Drosophila melanogaster: one gene and its partner. The protein of the gene in region 1 interacts with the protein of each later gene in a biochemical or structural test. Each region holds a gene or a part of one and is shown on either strand. Other genes may lie near its edges.

Evidence for each region.
Region 2: the proteins of Incenp (region 1) and aurB form a complex in vitro, tested with the Drosophila melanogaster proteins (one study listed by BioGRID).

The regions. Positions count from the first base shown.
Region 1 is NT_033778.4:7,276,767-7,282,599, forward strand, and holds Incenp (inner centromere protein), read left to right. Parts: upstream 1-1,839; 5' UTR 1,840-1,962; coding exon 1,963-2,031; intron 2,032-2,094; coding exon 2,095-2,275; intron 2,276-2,340; coding exon 2,341-3,400; intron 3,401-3,463; coding exon 3,464-3,560; intron 3,561-3,704; coding exon 3,705-4,371; intron 4,372-4,527; coding exon 4,528-4,721; 3' UTR 4,722-5,029; downstream 5,030-5,833. Other genes in the region: Br140 (Bromodomain-containing protein, 140kD), read right to left, coding at 1-1,116.
Region 2 is NT_033779.5:10,855,993-10,860,020, reverse strand, and holds aurB (aurora B), read left to right. Parts: upstream 1-1,926; 5' UTR 1,927-2,043; coding exon 2,044-2,177; intron 2,178-2,232; coding exon 2,233-2,950; intron 2,951-3,010; coding exon 3,011-3,148; 3' UTR 3,149-3,224; downstream 3,225-4,028. Other genes in the region: Stam (signal transducing adaptor molecule), read right to left, coding at 1-314, 374-651, 1,144-1,186; Dnz1 (DNZDHHC/NEW1 zinc finger protein 11), read left to right, coding at 3,743-3,858, 3,923-4,028. UniProt on the Drosophila melanogaster protein: Serine/threonine-protein kinase that mediates both meiotic and mitotic chromosome segregation. Required for histone H3 'Ser-10' phosphorylation. Phosphorylates mei-S332 within residues 124-126 and stabilizes its association with centromeres during meiosis.

The DNA of each region.
Region 1 (5,833 bases):
GAACCGCACTTCCGGTATCCAAAGCGCACACACCACGTGCGCCCACTGCCCGTGGTCCGTCTGCTTGAATGCGCCGCCCGCATTGGGACAGAGCACACAGTTCACAGGCTTACTGGGTGACTGCAAGCATCGGCGGCACAGCCACTGGCCCTCCGGGATATAGGGGACACCGTAGCAGTCCTGGTGTACCGCCAGGTTGCACATGTCGCAGAAAAGTATCACGTTGGTGTTTTGGCACTCGCCGTCGAGGCAAATGCAGCAGACTGCGTCGTCGTCCACCTCGACGCCTGTGGGTGTGCCGTTGGCCGCCGCCTGGAAGTGCGACTCCTTCTCCAGCCGGTCCATCAGCAGCTCCATCGTGTCGATGCCCACGGCGTTCAGGCCGAGTCGCTGGCGCTCCTCGTTCATGTGCTCCAGCCAGGCGGAGTCCTCCTCGTCAACGTCGTACTCCACCTCCCCGTCCAGCTCCTCCAGGGACTTTTCGATGAAGCGATAGTAGGCCAGCGGCCGTGGCGGGGCGTCGGACACTCGGTAGTCCGGAATCTCGGCCACCCTGGCCACGGGCACCTGGACCCTTGCCCAGGGCGCGTTCTCCTCCAGCGGTGGTGCGTCGGCATTCAGAATACAGCCCCTGGCCACTAGGGCGGCGAACTCTTCGTCCTCTACGAGCGGCAAGGCGTCGTCGATGCCCAGGCGCACGCTCTTCCCGTCCAAGTTAAACGTCACCGTGGCCTCCTCCTCGTTGTAGGACACCAGTGACTCTGGATTGGCGTACTGCCGGGCGCTGACTCCGCTCGCCGATCCACCTCCTGCGCTGGCCGAGGAGCAGCCGTTTCTGGCCTCAGCTCCACCGCCACCCGGCGTGGGGTGATCCTTGTGCGGACGAGGCGTGGAGTGGTGGCCGCCGGAGCGTGAGCGCGCCTTCTTGCGGCTCGGAGTCAGCACGGGCGTGAGCGGCTGTGGGTTGTCGTGGTCGTACTTCATAAGATGGTATTGCAGACCCATGATGGTCTTGTAGCTGCGGTCGCAGCCGCGGACGGGACAGGCGAAAGGCGGCTGGGACTGCTGGGTCTTCACCCCTTTGCAGTATTCCACTGCGTCGAAGTCGAGGCCCATGATCTGGATCTGCGGCGCGATCTGTGGATCTGCTGCAGCTGGCTTCTCGGGGTTTGGCGGTTCGCTGGTCGCGGATCGCGGGCACTGTGTCTACTCCGCGGCACGGCTGCGCATACGTATGTGCATCCCACGGTGGTCGTCGCAGAGCGCGCGGTTTTGGCTGTCCACCGTTCCTGGTCGATTTTCGTTGGCTTGTTGCAAATTTTTTAACAAATGTGCTAGAGATGGGCTTGCTGGTCAGCTCGCCATGGCGATACTATCGTCGGAAGTGCTTGTGCAGCACTGGACGTTTGCTGAAACTTGTTTGAAATATTTCCGGTCCTTTACGCAAATTAATTCTCTTCCGTAATCTATATTTATAATTTAAATGTTCCTTTTTGTTCTTTCCCTTACCATTTTCCCTCAAATTTGTTTACAATATGTTTTTTGGGGAGCCGTGCAGCACTGCTTTCTAGAGATGGTAGTGGCGGGAACGTATTGGAACTGGTTCACCTAATGTTATACTTTCAAAATTTACAGGGCTAGAAATCCAGTACGTAACTATTTAAATAACCCAATAATATTATTTTAAAGAATTCAAATAAATATCTCCCAATATTCACTCAAAAAACAAGTTTTGGTTGTGTTTTTCATTTTGCGCGGGAACTTTATCGCCCGTGCAGTGTTGGAAAGCAGAGGCATAAATGCGCCTTACAGCACCCGACGAGCTGTTAACTGTCAACAGTGCACAATTAAAGGCATGTTATCAAATGCTGACGCGCGTCGCAATTGCCGCCATTTGAAAAAAACGATAAAATCGAAGGAACCGAATCCGGATTTGCAGTTTGTCAGATACAGTCGCTAGATATGGAGGACATCTTGGGCGTGCTGGGCTCGCTTTCGGACCTGCGCAGGGAGCTCGAGGTCCTGCGCAAGGTAAGCCAGGATCAGGAGACGAAATTCCGACACTGTCAACATGGCGTCATATGTGTTTTTTAGGCCCACTTTGAGGAGCTGGACCACCTCTTCTACGGCACAGGCCAGCCGGAGGCGGAGGCCAAACCGAGGGACAGTGCTCCGGCAGCGAAGAGTCAGGAGAACTCTTCGGTGACGCCGCAGCAAACGAAAAAGCGCCCCAAGCGACTCACCTCACTGGCCGAGGATCAGAATGAGCCCGAGGGTGAGTATCCTGGCCATTTTAAAGCATTAACGACCAACAACCCCTGTGATATTCCATTTGAGCAGCTCCAGACGCCACGGCCAACAACACGTCGGCCCGTCAAAGCACTCGGGTCAGCAACTCCCAGTTGCTGGCTATCGCCGAGGACGAGCACAACTCCACGGCCTCGCTGATGCCGCCTCCGCCTGTGCCCGTCTCGGCGGACACCACCCTCGGCTCCGGAAGGCCACAGCGAGCCGCTAAGCTGAAGACCGAGAAATTACTCAAGGAGCCCTCACTCAACCGTAAGATGCGGCGGCCCAGCAGCGAGGAGCTCGTAAAGGTCAAGGTTGAGAGCGAGCAGCGAGTCTCCCAGTTTAACAGCTTCACCAGTGCACAGGCGTTAGAGGAAAATAAACTAGCGGAGCCGGAACTAGAAGAGCCAGCAGCAGAAACAGCTGAGCAGCAAAAGCCTCCGGAGGAGGCCTCAGTCACAGAGGACGTGAACACCACGAAGACACTCCGCGTGAAGGTAAAGCGCGAGAAACTCAGTACCGAAGCAGTGCCCCCGTTAACCAATGCGGTCTCCACGGCAAATGTGACCACCGTCTCCTCTGTAACAACGGAGGCAGCGCGACCGGACGATACGGTGGCCAGCAACACGACGACATCCACGGAGGTCTCCAAGAAGGTCCGCAAGAAGAAGAAGGACGTGGAAAGCCACCGACCCATAAAGGTGGAACGATTCAGCGACCTGGACAAGAGCTCGCCAGTCTCGTCGCGCACGCGCAAGTGTAGCAGCGATTCGCGAACGGTTCAGGAGCGATCCATATACAAGGATGCACTCGAAGATCCGCCCGTTGCAGAGCAATCAGTGGCTGCAGTTGCTCCGGCTGCTGTCAATGAGACCGTGGCGATTTCCAACGCCACCCTCGTACTGGGTCCTGCGCCGACGAGCGATAGTCCAATAGGACCAGCTGGAGATGCCACTTTTGAGGTGCACTCCAACGACAAGAAACAACCTCTGAGTAAGCAGGACAGCCTCTTAACGGAGGACGAGTCGGTGGAGGAGAAGCTGCCGACGACCAAGCTGCTCTCGAGCATAAAGGCTATAAAACTGCCTACCCGTACACATGAGCTTTTCAAGTGAGTAGATACCCTGCCTCTTCATGCATGTTATCCTTCTAAACAATCTTTGCACTTCTACAGCCCACTGCTTCAGAGTCCAGTGAAAATGCGCGTGGAGGCGTTCGAGAATGCGGCAAACGCACAGAACAGCATGCGCCCTAAGCGGGGAAAAGATCTGGTAGGTACAGTATAGTTGCACATATATAGCAGGCAGATAGCAGGCAGAATTAGGCTAGACTATTCACCAGTTCTGTATCAATTGGCGCTTTCTAGAACTGTTTGATAGGTGATTCATTTATTGTTATTTTTTTTTACTCTTCAGCAGGGCACGCCAGGATCAAACAACACTCCCAAAATTGGCAAGCTGCCTGCTCCGACTGTTGGTCGCTTTTTCACACCGACTCAAACGACAAGCACACTACCATTAAGCTCGGCGCAGCCCAAGAAGGGACCTGCCAGCGCGTCTAAGGCCACTAGTCTGCTGAAGACGGCCACCGGTACGAACCTAAGGTCGGTCAATTCCACGTCCACAAAAACGCTGTCGCGCGAGAACAGCGGAGACGACTTCCGCAAGGGCCTGCACAATCTGGCGGAGGAGCGCAAGAAGCTGCGTGAGCAAAAGCACCAGCAGGCTGCCCAGCAGCGCGAAGCCAAGGAGCGGGAGCGGGCAGAGCGTATGGCCAAGCTGGCCGCCGAGCGCGCCAAGAAGCAGGAGGAGCGAAAGCGAATTGAAGAGCGCAAACGACAAGAGCTGGAGGAGCTGCAGCGGAAGATGCGCCAGCAAGAGGAAGCCGAGGCGCTCAAGAAGGCCAAGTTCAAGGAGCTGGAGCAGCAGAAACTGCAGCAGCTAACCGGCGCCAAGCCCAAGAAGATGCTTCCGCCGCCGCCGAAAACCAAGTACACCTGGGAGATGCTGCACGAAGACGACTCGACAGACGACGAGGGAAAGGTCACCCACAAGCGTCCCCCAGCGCCCACCTGGAGTCGAAGTAAGTTTGTGGATCATTTCGAAGAGTTATTTTCGAGATACCTTATTCATCGTAAATATATACAAGTAAATACACCAGATTACAGTCTGATTTCCATTGGGACTACTAAAGGAAATGTTCTTAAATATAGATTCTGACTTATGTGTTTATTTTCAGGCCACGTAAGGGGAGAGGCAATTGCTATGCAGAGCCACTGCCCAACCGACATCATCGACAGCTTTTTCTCGGTGGCGCCCACCACACCGGACCTAAAGCAGATATTCCCGAACATCGATCCCAGCCAGCTGAAGCGAAACTCCAGCGTGCTGTGGTCCACGCCGCCGCGCTATTCCGAGCTGCCGAAATACTAGCCAAGTAGTCCTGCTCTCTTCTCCCGTAAATGCACATGTTTATGATCGAATAAATAAAGTTAATTGTGAAAATTAAAGCGGAGTACCGCTGCGCGATTCACTGCGACTCTGACACTAATATCCAGCTGCTTTAGAACTATTAAAGCCGCCAGCGTGCTCAATTAATGGTTCGCTGGTGGCTGCTTGCCGATTCCATTAGCCAAGTTGCCCAACAATGGATACGTCGATTCGTGAAAAGTGTGAAAACGCAGAGGAGGCAAGTAAACGAAATAAAAGAAAACAAGCCCGGCAAACACAATTTCACTGGTCATGGGGCATGGTTTTGTGGCATGATGCGCAGACGATCGAAAAGACTGCCTCGATTCGATTCTCCTCCATCATGTTTCCATTGCTGCTAATCCCACTTTTCCAACGAGCCATTCTCATTTTCAATCGAAAGCCGAAATCAGCGGAATCGGCATGGGCAATTGGCACAGTAATTGCTGCTGATTAGAGTCGACTCCATGTGGAAGTCGCCGCGGATCCACCCATGAATATGATTCGATGGGACCATCTTAATCCGCAATCTAATTAAGGCGCGTACGCTCCCCAAATTGCCACTTTCAATTGTTACTGTTTCCGTTTAAGTGCACTCTGTTAGTAGCTCCACTTCCCCACGGACCCAAGTCGATTGGGGCTGAATCTATGTGAATTCCATGTGGCACATTGGATACTCTATCAAAAACTGTAAGGAAAGATAGTAACACATCTAAATGAATAAGCTCTAAAATTCCATCAAATGCCACTTTTGTGATCCATCAGTTTGCAATTCTTTAGAACTTTTGAAAGACCAACTTTTAGATTTTCCCATGTTGGTCTTCCACCTGATATTACAGCCTAACAGAGTTGCCATCAGCATGCCAAGTAAAAGAAACTTTTTGCAAAATACAGCATTTGCAGCTCCAAATCAAAAACCTATTTTGAAGAATCGAACTGAAGACTGGCTGCGTAGTCTTCCACTCGCGGGCACTCTTCCGAAGAGCGGCCAAGCGAGTTGCGGTTTCTCGTTTCTTCGGCTCTGCGCGAAGTCTTCGTGCTTCGCACGAGTCAGTTTGAGTCGAGCGTTCGAACGG
Region 2 (4,028 bases), on another chromosome or scaffold:
GGATACAATGAGGGATAGGCACTGGCGGTGCCGGTACTTGCTACACTCCCAGTCTTTGGACTGCCCTTGTTCTCCTTCAGCGACAATTCGATGGCCTTGGCGATGTCATCCTCTTCCTGCTGGCTGCTGACCACATTCGGATCTTTGGGCAGGGCGGCGGCCTTTTCGGCAACAGTCTTGCTAGTCTTATCGCCAAGATTCTTGAAATCATATCCCTCTTGGCGCAGCTTGGCATAGAGTGCGGGTATCAAGTCGAGCTCTCGATCGTTCTTATAGTCGTTTTCAGCCCAGTTCTTCAGCACTTGGCGCATTTTCTGTGAATCATAATTGGAATTAGAAATGAAATAAGTGAGTTAAAACTGTTTGTACTCACCAGTGAAACCTTTGGCTGTGCTTTGGCCAACAGGCGGCGGAACTCCGTCTCGAAATCCCGTGAAGCCACCTCCAAATGGAGCGGTTTTCCGCAGTTGTTGGACAGGGCGTCCAAAAGCGTAATCGCCTGCATCACCACATGAGGATCGGTGTGGCCCATGCGGCGCATCACCGCCTTCAGGCAATCCTTGGCCAGGCGGGGATTGGTCGTTACCTTGTCGCATACATCCAAAATCAGAGACCAGTTGTCGTTGGTATTAGTTTCGCTGGTGGCCTTTTCTATAAAACAAGAAAGGCATGAACCGCATTAGCTTATCAGTCAAATAGAAATTTATATTCTGAGTCACAGCAAAACAAAGATAAGCTTCTTCGAAAACTGATTGCAGCTAAAGAAAATCAATACAATCGGAAACTAACTAAATTGCATTAAGGGATGGCGAGGGGGTTGGCTGCGTAAACGGAGGGGGTGTGAGGGGCTGCGGGTGCTACGTCACTCAAGGTCAGCGACTGCCATCTAACAACTCCAATAAGAAGTTCAACGAACGACGCAGAGCTGCGCACAGCATCTCACATGACTTTCTTTGTTGTCTGCTCAATCGGGGGATCGGGTTCATAGGGAAAACAGGGGAAAATGGTGTGGTGTGCGGGTTTTTAGACCCCAGATAAGAATAGAAAACTATGAAACGCATATTGGACCGTTGTGCAGTCCAATTGGAACATCGGCTTGTCCAATCGGCCAACACAACAGCTTAACGATAAGTGGTAACTCACCCACGTCGGCGTCGAATGGCGACGACTGCCCAAAGATTCCCATCTTTATGACCAAACCGCTCGCTCGGCTATCTGCCAATAATCTGCGCTGCCCTGGGGTCAATAAATCCAAATCAGTTGATCTTTGTCTGTTTTCCCTATTGTTTTTCCTCTCCAATCGATTTTCGGTGCGTCACGGCGACTGAAAGCACGCTTTTGGTGTACTTCCTCCTGCGTAGACCTTTTCGCTTTTTTCCAAATCTCTTTTGGGCTGCTTATATCTTTTCGATTAGCCTAAAAACTTCCGAATAGCGCTTGCAAATTCGCTTAATTTACGTTTATTGTGTAAAAAATGACTAATGGCGAGTGTGGCCAGATTGCGAATAGTCGGGAAATCCAAAGGATTTTTTGCAGCTCATTTTCAATGGTTAGTTAGAGGTATTCGAGACTTATATTATGCAAAACATTTTTATTTATATATACATATAAATATTATTGATATTGTATATTTAAATAAATTTAGACAACTAATAATATAAATCTATTAAACATCTGATATGATTTGAGCACTGGTAGCTATGGTTTATAATAATTAAACAGTTTTCTATGCCCTTCACTCAAACTATTCTCCTACGGGTGAGAAGCGTATATTATAATAACTATGCACAATATAAGAACAAAACTAGAAGATTAATTTTTATTTAAGAAACATGAAAATATTTTATTATACGTTGACCGAATTTAAAAATACAGTGACTTAACTGCTTCACTGAGAGTCACAGAATAACTCGATTCTAGCATGCGGTCACACTAATCTCAGCATTCGAAAAAAACGCGCAAACAAAAGGGACGCTTATAGAAAATACAACTTAAAATAATTAATTTACTTAAAAATCATAATATTATAAACAAGTCAGCGCCATGACGCTTTCCCGCGCGAAGCACGCCAACCGCAACCACCTGCCGCACCTGCTGGCCAAGGTGCCCGAGGAGCACCAGGAGCCGATCAAGAATATGTGCCTCAAGATGATGTCCCACGACGCATACGGACAGCCGTACGTACAAGCAATAAGCTAATGTATCAATCCGTACTTAATCTGCTCCCTCCAGATACGATTGGAGTCCCCGGGACTTTGAGATGGGCGCCCACTTGGGACGCGGCAAATTTGGACGTGTCTACTTGGCGCGGGAGCGCCACTCGCACTATCTGGTGGCCATGAAGGTGATGTTCAAAGAGGAGCTGCGCAAGGGCTGCGTGCAGCGTCAGGTTCTACGCGAGATCGAGATCCAGTCGCGACTGAAGCACCCGCACATCCTGCGCCTGCTCACTTGGTTCCACGACGAGAGCCGCATCTATCTGGCCCTGGAAATTGCGTCCGAGGGCGAGCTGTTCAAGCACCTGCGTGGCGCACCCAATCATCGATTCGATGAACCGCGGTCTGCGAAGTACACCTACCAAGTGGCGAATGCCCTCAACTACTGTCACCTGAACAACGTGATCCATCGGGATCTGAAGCCGGAGAACATTCTGCTAACCAGCACGGACGACCTTAAGCTGGCCGACTTTGGTTGGTCGGCGCACACGCCGAACAACAAGCGCAGGACTCTGTGCGGCACCCTGGACTATCTGCCGCCGGAGATGGTGGATGGGAACTCCTACGACGACTCGGTGGACCAGTGGTGCCTGGGCATTCTGTGCTACGAGTTCGTCGTCGGCTGTCCGCCCTTCGAGTCGAACAGCACGGAGAGCACCTACAGCAAGATCCGGCGCATGGAGATCTCCTACCCATCGCATTTGTCCAAGGGCTGCAAGGAATTGATTGGCGGGGTGAGTTGGAAGATGTTTCCTTTGAGATCCATTTATTGAACAGGGATTTCATCTTTGCAGCTGCTTCGCAAGGAAAGCAAGGGCCGCATCACCTTGGTGGATGTGATGACCCATTATTGGGTGAAGGCGGGAATGGCCGAAAGGGAGCTGCAGCTGCAGAAACGGGAGCGCGGCAAGGAGAACACGGCCAGAAATTGACTGGTTTCGAGTTTGCATTGTGTAACGACTTATTTCAGATTTTACTTTTATGTTTAATAAACGGTTTATAAGATTTAATGAAGTTTGGAGTATATTTTTGAAATCTGAAAACTGCTTAAAAATAAAAATCTATTGGTAGTAACTTACTTAAATTACCTTTTTCTAATTTAACCCCTTTTAAATTAATTTTTCTAAGCCCATGCCTTACTTAGTTCCAGTTCGTGGGCCATGCTATATTTTCGCGCTTCCCGCAAACGGTCACCCTAAATAAATAAATGACAATTTCAAGCGTAAAATAAGCCCTAAAATTTCGATGAAACGCTCGATTTGTGAATCGTGCACCCAGCAGTGAGTGGGCAAAGTGCGGCAGCCGACGAGACCGCCACCAGGAGCCTCGTATCCCGCCCAGCAGTGGATCGGTGGTCGCCAGACGAGCCGAGGAACTACAGCAACAATTGTTATTTTTCGGCCCTCGATTTTCAGGGGGAGGGGGGCTAGGAACATCAGCCCCTTCGGTTTCTAATTGAATTAAATAGAAGGGGCGGAGAGGCAATATCACCCAGGTCAGTCCAACAAGACGCAGGCAGCAGAGCAATGGTTTTTATCCGAGATCCCTGTGGCATCGCCTGCTTGGTAGTCACCTACGGAGCAGTTCTGTACGCGGACTATGTGGTCATCCGTTGGATCATTCTGACCACCATGCCGGGCAGGTGAGTAATGCATACTGTACGCACCATGACGTCATTATATATATATCTACCCACTTGGCGACAGCCTCTGGATGTCCTTCCATGTGGTGCTCTTTAACACCGTCGTCTTCCTGTTGGCCATGTCCCACTCCAAGGCCGTGTTCTCCGATCCAGGCACTGTGCCGCTGCCC